Linked DNA regions of Drosophila melanogaster. The protein of the gene in region 3 interacts with the protein of the main gene of each other region in a pairwise test. Each region holds a gene or a part of one and is shown on either strand. Other genes may lie near its edges. The genes, in order: Rsph3, CG12470, sina and CG2147.

Region 1 (6,913 bases), about 10 Mb from region 3:
ATTTCCATTGCCTCCACCAAGTAGTCCTCCCTATGATGTACGATATATACGATATATGGAGGTATAAGAATGGCTCATATATTCCTGCACCCACCTAATGATGTGCTCCACGCGAATCCTCGCCCTTTCCGTTTTGCCCGTGGCCAAATAGTCGGCTATTTCCTTCCTGGACTTTTGCGTCAGCTCCGCCTTCTTCTTCTCCAGCAATTTCAGGCGATTGAGAGCCAATCGAAGATTGGTCTTCAGTTTGTTGTAATTGGGGCCGCTGGAAAACATCTTCACTACACCCTGGACTTCCGAATTAGTTGTGAAAACAAGGAAATTCGGTCAGTGGTGATTCATTAATTCGGTATGGAAAAAACAATGTGACGTCACGTGCAGTGTGACCGTACATGCAGACCCCTTAAATACCAAGGTAACATTGAAATTTCAAATTGCTTGGCTCTATTAATATTTTAATTTAATTTAACAACCGTTTAAAATATTTTCTAAAATGTTTTGTTCGGCTTATTTTGTTGAGCTTTATTGGTTGAATTTTCGGTAACACAAAAACCTTTAACAAGTATCCAGTTTACAATATGCCATTCCATTTTTTCGATGCCATTTCGCCGCCGCCGCTATGCAATTGTGTTTGGCGCCCAGGCTCGATTCGAATCCTGCGGCGAATTGAGTTCTTCACCAGACACAACCACAAAGTTGCAGCCAACCTTGATTTAATAGCAGGAGTGTGTTAGTGTTACATGTGTGCGGAATCAGTATCCCACTCGAAATATATATATGAACTAAAACTCGAACGCAATCACTTAGAGATGAGGAGCCGGTGGTGGCGGTTCGGGGCACTCCTCCATTTCCGTTTCCGATTCGCAGGGACACGCCTCCATCTCATCGATGGCACAGCCCTCCTCCTCACAAACGCCCGCATCCGGTCCGGATGGTTCCGATTCAGGTTCCTTGTAGCCGGCATAGATCTCGGCACGCTGCTTGATAATCTCCTGAATGATGGCGGTGAGAATCTCGCGCGAGTCCACTATATGGCCCACTTCCTCGGCCACCTCGGCGGACAACCACGGGCAGACGCTCTTCATAAGCTGCTCCTTCTTAACGGCATCGCTGGCCGGCTCAATGTTCTCCAGCACCTCCGGCACCAGACTGGCAATGTGTCCCTGGAGCAACTTGGCCGCCGTCACGCTCTTCTGCATCTCAGCGTCCAGCTCCTTGGCAATCGCATCTTGTCGCAGGCGACGCTCCTTCTCCGCCTGCAAGCGCAGCTCCTCAGCCTCCAAACGGCGCAGCTCGGCCAGTTCCGCCTCCCTCTGGGCCAGGAATCTGTGGGTAACACAAAACGCCATTATAGTAATCTGAAGATTTACTTTACACTTTTTATACGTACTCTTCCTGTTTGCGTCGCAGACTGGACAGTTCCATCTCGTGAGCCACCTCCAGCATGCTTTGTTCAATGCAGGCGTCCACCAGGACATCGATGATTGGCTGCGCCTCGGCATCGAAGTGGAAGAGTTCGCCCTCACCGATCTCGGTGGCCACATCCACGCCCACCTTGGCCGGTATGAACGGAGGCGTCGGCGGCTTCTCGAGGAACAGGTCCGTCTGCGTGTCGATGGTGAACTCCGGCGGACGCTGCACCAACTTCTCCAGATACTTCTCCGTCTGTATGGTCTCGTGCTTCCGCCCCTTGACCGGCGGCGGTGTGCCCAGGACATTTCTCTGATTGCGGCACTGCATCGTCCGTTTGCGCAACATATTGCGACGCCTCAATTCGGCGGCCTTGTCGAAGGGATCCACATCCGTCTGGAGAGGAAGCAAAAAGTGGATTAGTCGTAGGTCAGGGCTGCCAGAGCACTGAGCTAAGCTGAGCTGAACTGATGGGACTTACCACCAGAGAGGCGTTGCCGAAGTTGCTGCCCTTTATGACGCGACGGTCGTACATGACGTTCTTGTAGGGTTCCGGCGGCGGGACGACGGGTCTGCAAGAGGAGCAAAGTGGAGAAGCGGGCATGGAGTTGCCCAGGTGGGAGCCACCAATTAGTAAGCCTCGACCCAGTTCAACAAACTGCTCATGCAGCAAAAAAGCTGCAGACTTTTTGAAAAGGTTCGTAAATGTGCAACTTAAAAGGATTACTACATAAATGGTTAAGTTCTCTAATAAATATGATATCTATGTATGGATAAATATTGTAATTGCTGCTGGAAAAGCAAGTTAAAAGTGTATGAGTTTTAGTTATCTTTAGATTTGTTAACTTCTTTCTATTAAAGTTTAAATATTTTATTTATTTAGTTTTGATTTGCTGCAGTTTCAGTGCACTTTGCTGCATTTGCCAAGACCCAAATCTGTTGCACTATCAAGGCGATAAACATCAAATTTGTTCATTTCCCAACGCCCTCGCAGACTGCTTGTCAGGTCATCTCCGATTCGAATCAATTTCGCCAAAGTTCAGTACACTTTTGGGTCAGAGTTTAAAGCCTGCTTAAAGTTCCACGAGTCCAGTCCGCGGTGGCTGAGTAATTTATGACTTGCTAATTTATATGTATAGCACCGGCAAGTAAATGGGGAAACAAACATTTCTTACATTTCTACATATATGCTGATACATACATGCTGACTGCGAGTAGAAGTAGTATATAACGTAGTTAGACATTGCACTAGAAGAACTTGGCACCTGAACTCGTGACCTATGCAAATTCGCAGCTACTTTTGGCCCACAAACAGGAAGTCACATTGAAGTTGCTGGCGAATGTCTAACAACATTTCTCTGGGTCTGGGTCTGCGCACCACAGACATCAGCAAATGGAACGGGAAACCCTTAGTGCGATGTCCTTATGAGGGATATATGGTCTGAACGAAAATCTAAGTTGGTGAATCCTTTTTGAGTTATAAAATAGTTATCTCCCTAATAGGTTCTTTATTTAAACGTTGAGTGTGATATTTCATTTTTCGTAACCCAAAAAGTATAGCCCATTTGGCCGAACAACATCCCATTTGGGTAAAAACGACCGGCAGGACCTGTTTTTTGTTTTTTTTTTTTTTTTTATTATTGTGCCATAGGTGTCCTTCTTCTCTGGTGTGGTAATTGAACTTAATATCCCTCCATTTGTGCTTTGGTACAATGGGTACATATTGTTGTTGTTTACGAAATCTTGATTTAAATTATTTAAGCCCCGAGCTGGGAATATAGAATATTCTCCGCTGGCACGACACATTCGAGGGTCCTTTGTCCCTTTGTCCATTTGTCCATTTGTTCGCATGTTCTTTTATGCAAGGCAAACGAGTTTTCCCATTCGAGAATGCGCTAAATAAATTAATCAAACCGTTCAGGGAATTTACAATGTCCGAATGTTATTGGAAAAGCATTTCTAATTGAATTGTTAAAGAGTTAATTGTGAAAGTGGGTGAGCCACACAAGAAACTTGGCTGATGAAGAGCCTTCCATTCTATTTGCGTGTCATAGTAAAGTCTAAAAACAGATCAATAAGGTATCATCTTGAATCTATATCAGTTTAGATAACAAATCCTTGAAGGATTCAATTCGGCACTTTAAACCACAAAACCTATTTGTAATTGAATTGTTTGGGTGTCAATCGATAATGGCCGTAGGAACTGAAGTGGGGAGCTAAGTTCTGGTTCCATTGCAGAATGGCAGTGTAGGTACGTACGTATTACTCATTTGAATTTATGGTAATATATTTTGGCCCACTTTGCCTTGGTCAGTTGTCGGACCTTTTCCACTTCCCACCTTTTTTTTTTTTACTTCCAAGTTTAGCACCCATACCATTTTGGGGGTTGGTCTTTTTATTACCTCTTGTCGCTGATGTTGCTGCTGCTGTTGTTGTTGTTGTTGCTGGTGGAGCGACGCTGTTGCAGTTGTTGTTGGAACTGAGCCTTGGTGATGTGGAGTCCACCGGCGAGGGATTGCGTATCGTTACGGGAGGATTTGGAGGCCGCAGCTGTGGCCGCCGCCACTGCCGCCGTGGCACGCAAACCGTTCAGCCGGGTGGCGGTCACCTTCTGCTCCTTGCTCTCACTGCCGGTCTCCTTGGTGAGATACCCTTGGAGGATCATGGGATATGAGGAGTAGGCGTAGACATGCCTCCTCAGCATGGTGGCCGGTATCATTTGGACCTCATGCGGAGGCGGCAGGAAGATGCCCTGCGGCACTGTGGTCTCGAATCGTGGTCGCTGCGACATCGCTGGATCCATCCAGGCACCGGAATTGGCGCTCTGGCGACCGCCGTAGTTCTGCTCCTCCGGCGCCAGGAAGCGCAGCTTCTGGCTCAGCTCATCGGCGAAGCTGCGCACCTCCTGGTTGCTGCGCGAGAAGTGCGATCGCTGTGGAGGATTCCCTACATGATTATCACGGTTATCAGCTATGCCCGCCTCACGTCTAATCGGACGCACGATGGCCTGTTGGGGTCGCGTTGGATAGGAATCGAATTCGGGCTCCTCGGAGGGCTGATGGCGCAGCACCGAGAATGCGTTGGTCACCACGTGCTGGAAATTGTAGGGACTCTGATAGCGCTGGACGTTGAAGCCGCCGGCGTTGTAGTTGGTGGAGCTGTAGTTGGTGTTCGAATTGGAGCTGGACGAGACGCGTCCTGGTGCGTAGGGATAGCTGCTGGCGAAGGAGAAGTTCTGCACGCGATTCGGTCTATTGTCGGTGAGGTGCTCCAGTTCTGGCACTGGCTGTGGATCTGGCTTAAGTTCAGGATGTGAGTGTGCTGGGTGCTGCTGCTGCTCCGTCTCTGGCATGGTCTCCGCTACCGTCTCGGTTATCCCTGCTCCCGGCCGCCGGTCACCTCGTTCATTATAAATAGCCACCACACGGTTCTCTCACCCGCCGCACCGAAAAACTTAATCAATACTTTTCCTATATTTTTCCCTTTTGTGCGCCGCTCAGGTGTTGCGTTCGTTGGTTGATTGTTTGATTTTGTCGCGGAACACGTACCGCACGGCTCGAATGGCAAACGCCAAATGACCAAAGGACTCGCAGGACTCGTGGAACTCGCGCTCGGACCCGGTTTCGACTTTGGATTCGGCCCGTGGTCAGCAGTCGTCGTGCAGTTGGAAAAATATGTGGAACATATAGTCTCCTACTGCCCACGACTAAAGCTTTCCAGGAATTGAGCTGTTACTTCAAAGGACATTTTTAGTAAAAATATCCTTAAAGTGCTGCAATTGGTTTATATAGAAAATTGCATATTTAAACTATTCATGTTGCTGTTTCATAAGTTTAAATAACAATACTTCGCGTGCGTGCCACAATGTAAGTTTCTATACTATATACACATATTTTTCAAATTTTTTTCTGAGTGTATCGCTTGCTTCGCAGTTTGAGGCACATGATGGGCAGGTGTTGCAATAATAATGCGAACTGTTAACAGTCGGTGGCATTGGCATGGCCAAATCCACGTTCCCAGGAATTCTACTTTGCATAAGAGCTTTTTCTTTTCCATCCAAGTAGTTTCGTTGGGGTCTCCAATTAAAGGTTTCGCCCGGCGGAGGGACCTTGAATTTGTTTCGATGGTGTCCACATTTCCTTTCACATTGTCGGAGATGACTTCACGCATTTCCCTGCCTGACATTGAAAAAGGAGGTGGGTGGCTCTCTATTACTTGGAACACCTCCTAGGTATTGTCAATGGCCAAGGTCAATTGCTTGGACTGCCTGATAAGCGGAATTCAACAGGGAACTAAGCATAATTAAGTAGATTTCTTGGCACTCCAAGGAGTCACTCTTTTTTACTGGCAATGAAGAAAGGTCAGTGAATAGATGAAAGATTATTGTAACAGGAATTGGTAAGAATGTATCAGAAGTCCAAAAGCTTTTGGTAAAGCCTGTTGTTAAAAAAGGTAATTTTCTTTCACTCAATCATACTTCTATATGATTAAATTCGTTGGCTGACCTAAAGCACGGTATTCTTATCCTAATTTGAACATATACAGTTCAGAATTGATGTACTAATATATTCGAATAAATGATAAGATATAAGATATACCACACTGTAGTATTTATTCGATTTTTAGCTTGAGAGAAGAATGAGCACTTTACTACAACTGGATTTAGATACACTATAGTTTATTGGGTTTTTATCATATTTGGGGATCATCCTTATTCCCTGGTTGACCTTAATCCGACCCAAGTCCAGCCCCCGTCATTATCGGTAGTCAGATATATTTGTATATTTTTATGATACTAGTGCGTCAATTTCTACAATAGTTTTAAGCACTCATCGACTTCCACACTCCTCATAATTTCCTGTCCTGTGCACTCCTTCTATTGTTTCCCTTCAGAACACGAATGTTTCTATTCAAAATCGTACCAAGTTTGCGTGTCCTTTAGTGGGGCCATTGTATTGACCATCAGCCGAACACGGCCAGCGTTTAATAATTTATTTACGCAATTTATGACTTTCGTTTTTGGTCTTGGGTTCCATTGACCCCAGTGGGGAGACATATAAAGGTGTAGAAAATTCCCCTGCAAGGCGTTACAAAAAGCAATGGTTTTGCAACTATAGGATACTCATTACAAGAGGAGTAATACCCATGATAATTAACTCGAGCTTACAATTTCTAATGGTTCATATTTGTAGCGTATAAATGATTTCTTAACTACTTATTGAATTATTATATATTATATAAATTACAAAGAAAGTAAGAAAGTTGATTAATATTATAATATAATTTTACGAAATATTCAATATACCCTACTTGTCGGACTTAAATTACAGGGAATTACAGGGAAGCATGGGAAATTCTTTGGGTGGCTTCTGTTTGATACTTACTTGGGGCAACCTTTGATTTTGATCGGCTTGGGATGGCTGGCCCACCAAAATGCCTGTTTGCATGGTGGCGCTGGACAAGGATTCTCGTGCCACTTGAGCTGCATCTCGGTGACCTCGGT
Region 2 (3,492 bases), on a different chromosome or scaffold from region 3:
TGCAAATGCTTTGCGGTTTTCGCAATCCATGGGCCTCCAAAAATTGACCCCTTACTTGGAAGGTTCACCTTGTTTCTATTGGGTTTCTTCTTTTTTCATTTTGTAGCAAGCAATAATAATTTGAGGGATTTGTTGTGCACGTTAAGCTGGAATCCTCCGCTTCATTCTTTTGAGCCGAATATTAGCAAAATGATGCACATGCATAATTTCCATACCACTCAAATGAATGGAATTAATCGAACGCTAATCGACTTGGAATCTGTACTCTAATTGACAAAATTCTCACACCCTGTAAGTCTCTAATTTTTGATATTATATTTACGATTTGTATTTTATCCACAGTAATATTGCAATAATTTATGTCGACTATTGTTATTTAACTTCTTTTGATCGTACGCTAACCTCAACTTTCCCAGCAAAACTCTACAAAAGGATTAACTTCGACATGCAAAATAAACGCTTTGGTATATCGCTATCACCGCTATTGGTATTAGAGCTATGCAAATTTGTTTTAGTTGCTTTCAAAGAGATTATTATTTATTGATAAAGATTGTGCCAAAATATGTTAAATGTTTAGAGCAAAGCTTGTCGTCCAGTATTATCCTCGTTGTGTATGCGTTGCCCTCTTTTGTTAGAAATCATATGGGACCTATTTAAGCGAATCGCATGCATTTTGCCTTTTGGGTGTACGTTACAGCGCCATACTCCTCCACAATCTGATCAATGGCAATCTTGTTTAGATTCTCCAGATATAGACGCGTCTTTCGAGACTGGATAATATAACTAATAACGTCGTGCATATTATCGAAGAAAAGAAATCCAGCAGTTCCGCAGCTGAGGTCTAGATAGCGGAACCTATTAACATCGCAGGTGCATCCATCAAACAGGAAGTAAATAAAGTCATTATTGTTGTGATACCGGAAAACCACGTAGTTGCCCCAAGGGGCCATCACGAAAACCCGCTCGGCACACCGGAATCCGGCTCTCAGGAGCTTGCAAATGCTATCGTAGCATCCATTCTCAGAGCCCACCACCGCCATTGTTTCCGGAATACGAAGAAGAGCCGGGTAATGATTCGGTTGAGCCCGAAGGACATCGTGGGGTCCGCTAGACTCTGGACAAGCGTCAAGTGGTTGCATCTGCTTTGGTGGTTCCGGACACGGAGGACATGGTGGCGCTTCGATGGGAGCCACAACTGCGGCGGGCTTCTTGCCCTTCTTTCCTTTGCCCTTTTTACCCATGGTTAATCGAGTCTACGATCTCTGAAAGTCGCGCAACGCACAAATTAGAAATGCCTCTGCGTTTGCTTCCGATCACTTGAAAATAGTTAACGAATCAAAGTAGCATATATCCTGACGTCTGAAATACGCATTTAAAAAAAAAAAATATTAATTCTTAAGTTAACCCCAACCAAATACTCAGTAAACACTGTCCCACACATATAGAATTACGACTTCCAATTGTGTGCGTATGTCATGTGAAACCAAATGCAATTCGGAAATGGGGAAAAAATTTCAGTAATATTCGGAATATGCCGAGCTTCCAATAAGACTCACCAACTAGCTAAACACGATTTGATTTTGGTACACACACCGTTCTCTTGTATTCCTAATTTTAAGTTTGGCCAAAAAAAAAATTTTGTAAATCTGGTCGAGAGCGAAGTTAAATTTTGTACAGTTTTTTTTCCGAGATTTTTTCGTGTGCTTTGTGTGTTCACAGACAATTTTACTTCTGATGTTTTGCCATATGGCTGGTGATAGCCAAGTCCAAATACTGACAGTTTCAGCAAAGCAACGTGATCTAAAAAAAAGTAAGAAAGCCATTCTATTTAATAAACCAACCCAGAGTAGGCTACGTTTGGTGCTCGTAAACAGCTTAATGCATATATAATTGCCAGTTCTTATTTTATTCAATTATCGTTGTATCACAACTTAAGGGACAACTAAATCTACTACTTTCCTTTATCTGCTGGAAGAAGAAAAATATGGAAATATTAAAAAAAATATCTGATACGATAAAAGTACCATTGAAATACGAAAAACGCGTATTTATTAATTAAACATTATCTAAGCTTCAAATGATGGCCTTTTATGAATGGACCAGTGGAATAAATCTCAGGTTTTTGGCTAAATGATGATGACACCACCATTATAATCGCAACCATACTAACCTAATGGGTTACATTTTATGGCTCACAGCGGTATCAAACGAATACGAATCCAAAAGAAAACACTCCTTCGATTATTGCTTCATCAAAAAGAAATTCTCAGCTAATGGGGTAACCCAACCTGTCATGCCGGCAAACGTGAGTCGGCAGGTTTAGGATACCCATATGGAGGAAGATATCGCTCTCTCCCACTCTCTATATACAAATGTGTGCAATCTTCAATGGTATTATTTAATCAGTTGCTTTAATGTGGGATGATTAGATAAGTACTAGAAATAAGATTCATTTACCGCATAAGTACTTTAACCTACATACAGTTTAACCTTTATACAGTTCAAATTATACTTCTTATACCCGTTACTTGCAGACTAAAAGAGTATACTAGATTCGTTGAAAATGTATGTAACAAGTAGAAAGAAGCGTTTCCGACCATATAAAGTTTATATATTCTTGATCAGTATCAATAGCCCAGTCGATCTGGCACTGTCCGTCTGTCCGGCCGTATAACGTCGACATCTCAGGAATTATAAAAGCTGGAAGGTTTATATTAAGCATACATATTCTAGAGACAGAACCAGCGCAAGTTTGTTGAAATATTACCACGCCCACTCTAAGGCCCCCAAACCCCCCAAAACTGCCACGCCGACACATTTGAAAATTTAATTTTGTAAATCTATCGATATGTTATCTACATATATCCAACTCCAACGCACTTCCTCTAGCGGAGTAGTAACACGTATCTGTAAGCCGACAAGATCGACTGAATCGTTTTCTCCTTGTAAATTCACATGGATATGTTGCCTTATACAGATGTCCAAGTCCTTCTTAAAAAAAAAAACGGCATGTTAAAAACGTAAAAAAGTACATGCTCATAAAATTGAGCTTTTTATCATAAAATAAAGATTTTTAGCTTTAAGCCGCGAAAGCTTAGTTTGGAGTACTTAAGCTTTAAGGTGCTGAATAAGTTTGCAGAGGAGAAATTGCGCATAATTTATCTCAGAGAGCGGAGTTATTTAGCACCTCTCCGGTAGCCTTCCCTTTCTTTTTTTATGACTGAAATTAATCTTCATTCACTGCAGGAATATAACAAATGGTTTGCTGATTGTTTACACATGGGCTATCCTGCAGTTGTATCGGTCAAAATAAAATACAGCAATAAAATAGAGCAATCGAAATTTTGATAACTGTGGTACCAAAGTGCAACAACCTAAAAGTCGACGCCAACGAGTCTAGGGCAAACAAAAAATAAGAACAAGGTCCAAGGCATTGGGTCAAAAGCCAAGTAAAAAAAACAAATAGAAGGAAGGGAGAACGTTATATACAAG
Region 3 (7,079 bases):
GCTATTAATCCTAAGACCTAACAACCAAACGATTCTGAAGAATGAGAGTGCCGATGGTTTTACTTTTTTTTTACTTTTTCTGAACACTGAAATTTTGCTTAAAAGAATTCGAAAATACAATCTGTACCACAATACAACGAAGCTAAAAGTATAATGAGCTACTTTTACTTCGGAGCCTACTTGCTTTAAATCATTTTAAAATCAGCTTAAAAATTTATTTTTGAAATTGGCCTAAGTATCCTAGTAAGATACCAATCCAGCTAAATCTTTAAGATGCTTCGGCGGTGCACCACTAAAAACTTGTGCCATCTATTATTGCAACGTTTTAAAACGCATTAGAAGTAACCCAAGTATCTCAAAGATAATCCAAATTAAACAGATAACTGATTTAAATCGACAAGTTTATAAAGTGGCGTAGCTCTTCTTTGTAATTCAGCTTCCCCCAGATTAATTTCAATAATTAACGAGCATTGTTTACTTTTACTAATCATGTTTATTTCAGTTTTGTAGTTTTGTGTCTGTGTGAGTGATCTCATATGGTAGTGGCGCGGTAAATCGGCGCATTAAAAGCTAATTACGGTGCAGATGCTTAAAATCATTAATTTTTCTTCCGTTTTCGATTGGGAAACGTTGGCCGAATGGAAATCAAAACCAAAACATGAGCCAAACCGGGGAGATCGTCTTAACTAGATAGAAATTTAAACATTAACATTGCTTTATATGTTTGGGGGGACTTGGGGGGAAATGGGAAGGGGCAACTGTCTTTTTAGCATTGCGAAAAAAAATGTTTTCTTTTTTTTTTAGTGTGTTTTTGTTATTTTGTGATGGTTTGGCATGAACAAAATTGCGGGTCGCAGTTTCGTTTAGGCTGCAACTTTCAAACAACTCTCGAGTTATTACAGATTATCGCTATCAAATATTACTTTTCTTTGTGGGTTATTAGGTTTGTTAATTTCGTTAAACTGTTCGTTTTACTTATTACCATTTACAAGTATTGTATAAAATAATTTACATTAACTAAACTAGACTTTGCAGTACATGTTCGAGTGGATGAGTGACCTCCTCGCCTTTCTTGCTGTTCTCCTCGTTTTGGTGAGTGGGTCTGTGTGTTCCTAGCGTTCACTGTAGTAGGTGGTGGGCACGTGGGCACGCGCAGGCAGCTCTGCTCCAGGTGTGTGGACCTTACGAACTAAATTAAACTAAAGCAGAACCCCATGAACTAACAAAACGGGTAACACTGAAACTTTGAAATATATAGTATTGTGTGTGCGGTAACTGAAAAATCATGTCCTAGAACTAGAGTACCAATCGAACCGATTAAACATACAAACATACAGGTCAGCCACGATTTTCGCATTCGACAGGAAAGTGTGTTATACAAATCTGCGAAATCTCACCAAAAATATTTGGCATTTTTCTGCAAACGAGTGAGATTTACACACAGTCATGTGCAAACTAAAAATGAAAATACGAATTTTAAACGCGGTTTTACAGGTTTAACGAACGTGTGCAATAAACACTGAACATCACTTAGCAATTGCTTTAATACGCTTTCCATTTCGCTTTGGAAAATTGTGAGTGTCTTAGCTTAAAAATCAAAGAAAACTGCGATATCGTGCCGAATGTGATAATCGAAGCAGCCTGATATTTCCATAGATATATATACATATGCATGTAAGTGGCTCTTAGAATAGAGAATCATTTTTATAAAACAACTCTGCAAAACTCTTTCTTCTTAATCTCCAGACTCACAATCTGTCCACGAGTTAGACGCCTGATGCGAACAGAGGGCTATAAACTATATATGTATTTGTATCGGAATAGTAAACACAAGAAATGAAAGAACCCGACGAATTGACAGTGCGTTTAGACCAGAGATATGGTCACGTTAATGCCCAGGTTGCCATTGTCGGCGAACAATTGCGCAATCGACGTGTCGAACACCAGGCAGTCCGAGTTGTGAATTGCGGAAGCGACGCCCTCGTGGATCGAACGCGGCATTGCCTCCCAGGTGAGCCGGCGTCGGTTTCCGTTCAACTCCAGGCGATAGACAAAGTTCTCCGCTTCCTTGCGCGACCCGATCAGCTGAACGATGGCAAAGAACTGCTGGTGTCCGTCGTACTTCTCCTGCTTCTCCAGCACGAGCATAAAATGGTGGCCGAAGCAGGACTGCATCATTACCCAATCGACGGCGCCGGGCAGGTTGATGTCGGTGGCCAGGAACACGATGTCCTCGCCCTGCAGCGTTGTGATGCTCTTGTGCGACATCATCAGATGCTGCATGACTAGGTCAAGCGGGCCCTGCCACTTACAGCTGGCGCCCGGGCACGGACACAGGTAGGGCCGGCACTCGCACGTCTCCTCGTGTTCTGTCTTTTCCGTGTAAACCAGCGAGGCGGTGCATCCGTAGCCGGAGTGCTTGCACGGGAACTTGACGTTCGAGGCAACCTTCTCCATCGCCAGGTTGCGGATATTCGCCAGCGGACCGCGGCAGGTGGGGCAGCAGGTGAGCTTGGAGCGACAGGACACGCACACCAGGTGCCCGCTGGAGCACTGCAGGATCGGCGGTAGCACATAGTCAAAGCACACGGGGCATTCAAACAGCGAGGTCAAGTCGGCGGACATGCCCGCATCACCGCCACCGGCGGACGACAGCGAGGAGCTGGACGACGAGGATGTGTTGGCCGAGGACGTGTTGCCGGCACTGGAGGATCCGGTCGAGGTGCTCGTGTTGGTGGCCACTCCCGTGGCACCGGCTCCTGCTGCTGCTGCTGTCGGTTCGCGGCGCTTCGGGTTGATTTTATTGGACATTGGAAGGGTTCTCGCAACGGCACGAATGTGTCTACAATTCTTCTGGGTCCCTGCAATTCTCGCCAGGTTCAGGTTCTTCGCCCTCCCGGTGGCTTCGGCAATGGCTTTCTTGTGCTTCTGTCTAAAATGAGATACAATCACAGGTCAGTGAGTAATGCGGTCAATTTAGTCATAGCATATGTATAATTTTTTTTTCTTTTTTTTGTAATTTTGTTCGTTCAGTGATAAGAAACTCCAAAAAACAATAACCTACAAAACCATACAGATATCTTAACAAAAATAGTTTGTTTCGATTAGGCTTAGTTAATCCAAAAATAACATATATCAACCAACAAAAAAAATCACAGTATAACACACTGCATAAATGCTGGTTTAAATTTGAACATATGTTATGAGCTTTCTATCGATTTTGCGGCTTAAGTTCGGAGCATACTATTGATTTGAATGTTCATTCCAAACTATTGTGCCCACTGGGACATGAGTAATAGGCAAAAATATTTTTCCATGAAGTAATAGAAATGAAATGAATGCAAACTGTGTAAGCAAAATCTACTCGATTGCTATAAAAAATGTTGCCCAGCAAAACTACTATCCATTTGTAATAATTTAATTTGAGCCTTATTAATTTAAAACTTATTTCGCGTAATCACTACTACTAGGTAGTTCGTTTTTCGTGCCGCCCAATAGAAAAGCCAAAGCGATTTATCATTCCTGGCCTTAACCTTGCCGTGGATTCCCAATTGTTGTAATTACCGAAAAAAGAAAACACACGCATTTGCGTGTATGGGAATTGCATTTAAGCAATTACTTAAAGCGGAACGTATCGAACCGGAGTTGGTCTGCGAAAAGCAAAGACACAGCCCGAGGTCGCCGTCACGTCTCCGATCGAAATGAAGGCCCGATTCCGATTCCAACTCCGAGCCCAAGCCCAAAAGCCTCTTGGCGGCACGTGTGGAACGGCGCAAATATGTTGGCTCTTATCAGGCGGAGCTGACGGAGCCGACGCTGATGGACGGCCATTAGGGACGTCGACCCATGGCGGGATTGTGCGATGGTGGGTGTCGTGCTGGTTGTAATGGGTGTGGTTCGGTTTCACGGGTTTGTCCACTTTGGACAGAATGGGCACACATTAGTGTGAACAATATGCTGTGGGTGCTTTGGTGCGTTTATAAGATAAATATCAATATAATAATATAAAGTTTTCGTAATTGTTTAGCTTTGATGTACAAACAAAACTTGTTCTCTTTCCTAACGGGAATATATTTGCTATATGATTGCTATCAAAATTTTGTGTGAAAGGAGTTCAGTAATATTGTTTATATTCGAAAACAAACTCAAACCTAAAAAATAAATAATATGTTTCCTTATTAACCCAAAACAAAAACACATGAAACGCATGAACATACAAATGTTTAATACTTTACCCTATATATTGGAAAAATTATTTGAACATTTGCCATTATGAAATTCGTACCATCGCCCGCATAAACGTAATATCGTAATGAAGAGTGCGTAACGTAACAAATGCAACGAGGATGTGTAGGGGGTGGGTGGCGGTAGGGGATGGCAGCCGCGGGGAGGGAAACTCACACACTTACAACACAGACACAGATCGCACACACATAATTAACAGTTCGTTTACGTTGCGTACCGTTGGAAACGTTCATACGGGGTAAAAATGGTAATTGCCACAAAAGTCATAGCCATGAATATAATTAACTTAGCTTCTGCTTTCATGAGTTGCAAAATGGTAAAATAGAAAACGTAAGTTGCGGAGCAAAGCGAAATGCGACTATCTTTCTTTAATTTATGCCGCCATTAAGTGCGACTAGGCTGCTGTTTAAACAGCAACAACAACTGCGAAATACATAATCGTTGATATGTAAACTTACATGGCAGGCTGCCTCCAAGAAATTGTGCCGAGGTATTGGTGCCCCGCTGCGTTGGTGTGTGTGTGTATGTGTATATTTTATTTTCTTGTTATTTTTTTGTTTCCTTTTTTATCAGTCAGTCAGCCTTTACGGCCATGCACACACACACACGCATACAGCCAGCATGTGTGTGTATATATCCTAGGTGCAAGTTCCGTTTTTTACGTTGCAATTTGTTATTTTTTTAACCGCATATATATATATAACCAATGCAGGTGGTTTTGCTACTGCACACGCACACTGGGAAAATGGAAAAACTGTTTTGATTGCTTTTCGCCTTTTCGTTCACCTTGCACCGAACCGAAACTCGAAATTCAGGCGTGAGCTAATTTCATTTGGCTTTTTATCTAATTTTCTTTAACGCGACCCGCACACATACACATTTATTCATATTTAGCTTTACTAGTTATTTTCGCCTTTTCTGCCTCTGTGTTGCTGCTGCTGCTGATGTTGTGTTGTTGTTGTTGCTGCACAAAAATAAACCATTTGCATTTACACACAGGCAGCGAAATGGGTTTTTTTCGTGTGTCTCACTTTTTCTATATTGCGTTCTTTGATCGTCGCAGTCGGCGTTTATTGCACTTGCCCTTGCGCGGTGTGGAATTCAGTCTTTTTCGGCATTCTCCATGTACTTTGGGCGTGATGTCTGCCTTTAGCTGGTTAATTAATTAATTTACTTTACTATACTGAGTTTCTTCTAATGTCCGCGTCGGTTGCAGAGATGGAACCCCAATTGTCGTCTATTCGATTCCAGATAGTCGATTACACGCAATCGGCAACATCGCAGTGCCTCCTGGTAGCTATCAATTGCTGTCATCGATTACTTAACAGCCTTGCCACGTTTGTCAAATTAATTTAATAACAGGAAAACATCAGTTTTGAAATAATACAAATCGAATCAGGCGCATAATTTTTAAAGGATCAAAGTTAATAATGTAGTCTGTTACTCTTATTGACAACTAAAGCCTAATTTTTAAAATAATTCATTAATAAATACTTTTTTATGATTTATAGTATTTCCAATCAAATAATATAGGCAATACAAAAAATTAAATAAAAATATTGATTGGTGATACCTTGACCTTGTGTCACATCATTGGCGGGAATGTTTAAGAACTTAGTTTGGATCGGGAAATTCGAAGAAACAAATTTACGAAAGAGTAAAATTGCGTTTTACGAATATGAAGTAAATAAATATCCTAATACCAAAAATCCCATTAATCTTCTTCACTTTTATGCATTTCCAGAGGGCTACCTCACGTCCTGCTCCTTCGACTATCTTTCGGACAACTTTGACACCCGGTTGTTTGTGGGCACCATCTTCTTTTTCAGCTTCGTGTGTCCCACGCTGATGATCCTTTACTACTACTCGCAGATCGTGGGCCATGTCTTCAGCCACGAAAAGGCCCTACGGGAGCAGGCCAAGAAAATGAACGTGGAGTCGCTGCGCTCCAATGTGGACAAGAGCAAGGAGACGGCGGAGATACGGATTGCGAAGGCGGCTATCACCATCTGCTTCCTGTTCTTCGTGTCGTGGACGCCCTACGGCGTAATGTCGCTGATCGGGGCATTCGGGGATAAGAGTCTGCTTACACCAGGAGCCACGATGATCCCGGCCTGCACCTGCAAACTGGTGGCGTGCATAGACCCATTCGTCTATGCCATAAGTCACCCCAGATACCGCTTGGAGCTGCAGAAGCGCTGTCCCTGGCTGGGAGTCAACGAAAAGTCTGGGGAGATCTCTTCGGCGCAGTCCACGACCACCCAGGAGCAGCAACAGACTACCGCTGCATAGAACCAAGGACAACTCTACTCTAAGACAACTGACCATGTAACATGAAAGCCAAGGAAAAAGTATAAAATGCCGACAACGAAACTGTATAACATTAATTTTATAATTTGTAGTGTGACATTCTTGAGTTTGAAATAAATAAATAGTAACTTATTGCAAACGAAGTAGAAAATGAGTCCCGTTTTTTATTTGAAATTCGGTTCTTTGATGTCATTATTTTGTTACTATTTCTACACTTACACTTAAAAATTAAATAACAAATTCAACTCAAATCCTAAACACATTTACACAGTTATTTGGAGCCTCTTCATTCCTAATAAAATCATAAAATCGAGTTTTTTTTTCAAAATAGTCAGTTATGTATTTATTCGGTTTTTGGGTAATATCTTTAAGATACCCATTGTGAAATCTGTTGGCATTTGTTAAACAAAATGAAGGTGACCCACCAGGAAATAAATTCCATGACCCTGGCTAATCCTCAGTTGCACATCAGGGAATGCAGTCGAATGACCGCTCGGTAATCGTTGTGCGACAGCAGACCACGC
Region 4 (2,912 bases), on a different chromosome or scaffold from region 3:
ACCAACACGGTTGTGCCCATCATGCTGGCCAAGGCGTGTCTGCCGCTCCTTAAGAAGGCAGCCAAAGCGAACGAATCCCAGCCGATGGGCGTGGGCCGTGCCGCCATTATTAACATGTCCTCGATCCTTGGCTCCATCCAGGGCAACACGGACGGCGGAATGTACGCCTATCGCACCTCTAAGTCGGCCTTGAATGCGGCCACCAAGTCGTTGAGCGTGGATCTGTATCCGCAACGCATCATGTGCGTCAGTCTGCATCCTGGCTGGGTGAAAACCGACATGGGTGGCTCCAGTGCCCCCTTGGACGTGCCCACCAGCACGGGACAAATTGTGCAGACCATCAGCAAGCTGGGCGAGAAACAGAACGGCGGTTTTGTCAACTACGACGGCACTCCGCTGGCCTGGTAAACGATGACAGCGGTTAGTTTACCTGCATTTTGTTTCTGTCTGTTAATTGTTGTTGAATAAACTGGACTCCTAAAGTCAAGAAACGCTTGGGTTTACTTTTTAGAGGTCCCGTCCCCCCATCATTCGCATTTCTGATTGTATTTTGTGAGGTGTCTTAAGTGTTTTACATAGAAAAATAATTGATTTTCCAGCCCGCCATAGAACACATTAATTTGAAGTTCCTTAGCCTAGGCCCTGAATTGGCGATAACTACATGCTATTTGGTTCTTGGTGGAACCTTGGCCACCCTGGAGGGATCGATGCTGATGCTGTGGGCCAACGGTGGCAGGCGCACGGCATTGGCATTTGGTCCCGCTCCGAAACCGCCCACATCCGCTCCACCGGCCGGTGGATTGTTGGGATCCGGATATGGAATCTGGCGCTGGGGTGTTACCAGGGCCACGGGACGCGGCGAGATTGAATCTTGTGCTGTAGGTATTGATAGTTGTGGCTGAACCAGCTGGACACTAGAGGACTTCCCGTCCAGCGGGTGGGCCACGCGCTTGCGAAGATCTAGGCGTGGACGACTATTGTTTAATTTGCAGCTCTGAGAATCCGCCGAAATGGGTGGCGGGTCATTCCAGCCGGGAGTCAGGGATCCTGTGCGATGGAAAAGTTTAGCCTTGGCACGATTTGAAAGCGGAATCAACTCACCAGGAAACGCTCCCGATGGAGCTATGATTTGCCCCGTTGGCGGTGGCGGTGGAACGCTTGCCACCTGCTGTGGGTTAATACTATTGGTGGCACGAAGCGGCGGTGTTGGATCCATGATGGCTTCTTTATTCTAATTGTGCCGCTCCCTTCTCACTGCTGGATTTTGACAACGGAAACAAAACGATTTTAGCTTCACTAAAACAAAAACAAGACTCATTCGCCTGACGTATCGGGCTTTGTGCTACATCGATATGTTCAATTTAGTCTATCGAAAACTATCGGTACTAACAAATAAATTTCACGGAAAGCCCGCACTTTTTAAAAACTGGAAGCAACTTCTAAATTTCTTGATTTGGTTTTTATAAATGTTTTTATCAACTTGCCACCCAGAAAAACGCAATCTGAAGTTTATATTTCTTGGTTTGTCGATTTTTTTTATTATTATTAATATTGTTATTTCATCTGACTTTGTCCGCATTTTTGCGTTAGGGTTACTCATAAATGTCGTTAATTTCGTACAATGGCTATTAAACCGTGCCTATTTTGCAATCCGCTTTGTTTTTCTTTAGGTATTTGTTTCGTATTTAGTTTAGTTTTGCTACACCACACACATACATAAATAAAAACTTAAACAGATTTACTGCACACACATTTTTTTATACCTTGTGGACTACAAAAAAAAAATTGTTTTTTGAATTTTATTATTACTTGCCCCGCTACCATTTCCGATTTCAATTCAAACTCTACCAAGAATCCATTATTAGTCCATCAGATCGAAATATGATCTCGAGGACTCAAAGGATACAGGGATAATCTGGCAAGTGCAGCCATCTAGCAAATGGATCGAAATGGAAATGGCAAGCGGGACACCGTATATGTAGATTTTAAGGTATATTAGATATCATTCGCTTTTAGAAACTTTCAAGTGTTCAACATTGCGTAACATAGTTTGCTATTTTACTTGACCCACACTTCTTTTAATATAAAATTCTGGTTTTTAGCTGCTGCTCAATGGAATTTGTATAGATCTCTATATGCACGGTATATCTAGTTAGTTAGTTGTGGTTGGAATTGAAACCAACTGGATCTGCCGCCCTGCCATCCCTGTTCTCTCTCTAGACGAATTGGTTTAAATAATTAATTACAACAACATTTACTTGGGAATTACTTTGTTTTTCGTTTTTCGATTTTCCTTTTGTTTTTGCTTTTGTTTCGGATACCTTAGCCTGTTCATTTTCTTTCCGGCTTACTATTTGCATTCGTTTATTGGGTTTTCCATTATCTTACAGTGCTTAAAGTTGGCTAAGTATTTTGTTTTTCCGTTTCCGTTTTTGTTTTTAACAATTTCGCTCGTGGAGTGGTTTTTTTCTAAGTGATTCTCCTAACTCTCCTCATCTAACACTCTCATTTATTTAACTCTTTTTGTTTTTCTCGTTTTTCTTGTTTTTTTTTTTTTTGGCAATGACTTACTGATTTTGTTGTTTCTCTCTTATGAACGGTTTTATTTCTTAGTTTTCACTTTGCTCTTGCATTCGTTTTGTTAAAAATTAATTGTATTAAGTACGCTTCGATTTATAATTTATGTGTATGTATATCCGTATAGTATATATTTTATAAAGTAAATAGATTACGTAATTGCAACACTTGCATCTGCATCTGTATCTGCGCTTCTGATTCGGTTTCTCTGTATGTTTCTGATTCTGCTTTTGAATTTGAATCTGAAGATGAATATGAATCTATATCCGACGGATCGATCTCCCCTCGCACAGCTGCCTACGGATTGTTCTGGCTCTGTTAACATTCGGAGTCGC

The links.
Region 1: the proteins of sina (region 3) and Rsph3 interact in a two-hybrid assay, tested with the Drosophila melanogaster proteins (2 studies listed by BioGRID).
Region 2: the proteins of sina (region 3) and CG12470 interact in a two-hybrid assay, tested with the Drosophila melanogaster proteins (2 studies listed by BioGRID).
Region 4: the proteins of sina (region 3) and CG2147 interact in a two-hybrid assay, tested with the Drosophila melanogaster proteins (2 studies listed by BioGRID).

What each region holds. Positions count from the first base shown.
Region 1 is NT_037436.4:6,756,129-6,763,041, forward strand, and holds Rsph3 (radial spoke head protein 3), read right to left. Parts: upstream 4,987-6,913; 5' UTR 4,763-4,986; coding exon 3,813-4,762; intron 1,983-3,812; coding exon 1,892-1,982; intron 1,807-1,891; coding exon 1,391-1,806; intron 1,327-1,390; coding exon 804-1,326; 3' UTR 501-803; downstream 1-500. Other genes in the region: Ist1, read right to left, coding at 1-30, 95-276.
Region 2 is NC_004354.4:305,957-309,448, reverse strand, and holds CG12470 (uncharacterized protein), read right to left. Parts: upstream 1,766-3,492; 5' UTR 1,557-1,765; intron 1,360-1,556; 5' UTR 1,242-1,359; coding exon 654-1,241; 3' UTR 514-653; downstream 1-513.
Region 3 is NT_037436.4:16,852,150-16,859,228, reverse strand, and holds sina (seven in absentia), read right to left. Parts: upstream 5,479-7,079; 5' UTR 4,704-5,478; intron 3,311-4,703; exon of another isoform or gene 3,245-3,310; intron 2,933-3,244; 5' UTR 2,812-2,932; coding exon 1,867-2,811; 3' UTR 517-1,866; downstream 1-516. Other genes in the region: Rh4 (rhodopsin 4), read left to right, coding at 5,990-6,537; Zcchc7 (zinc finger CCHC-type containing 7), read right to left, coding at 7,013-7,079. UniProt on the Drosophila melanogaster protein: E3 ubiquitin-protein ligase that is required for specification of R7 photoreceptor cell fate in the eye by mediating the ubiquitination and subsequent proteasomal degradation of Tramtrack (ttk).
Region 4 is NC_004354.4:8,239,074-8,241,985, reverse strand, and holds CG2147 (uncharacterized protein), read right to left. Parts: upstream 1,303-2,912; 5' UTR 1,217-1,302; coding exon 1,102-1,216; intron 1,048-1,101; coding exon 665-1,047; 3' UTR 503-664; downstream 1-502. Other genes in the region: sni (sniffer), read left to right, coding at 1-408.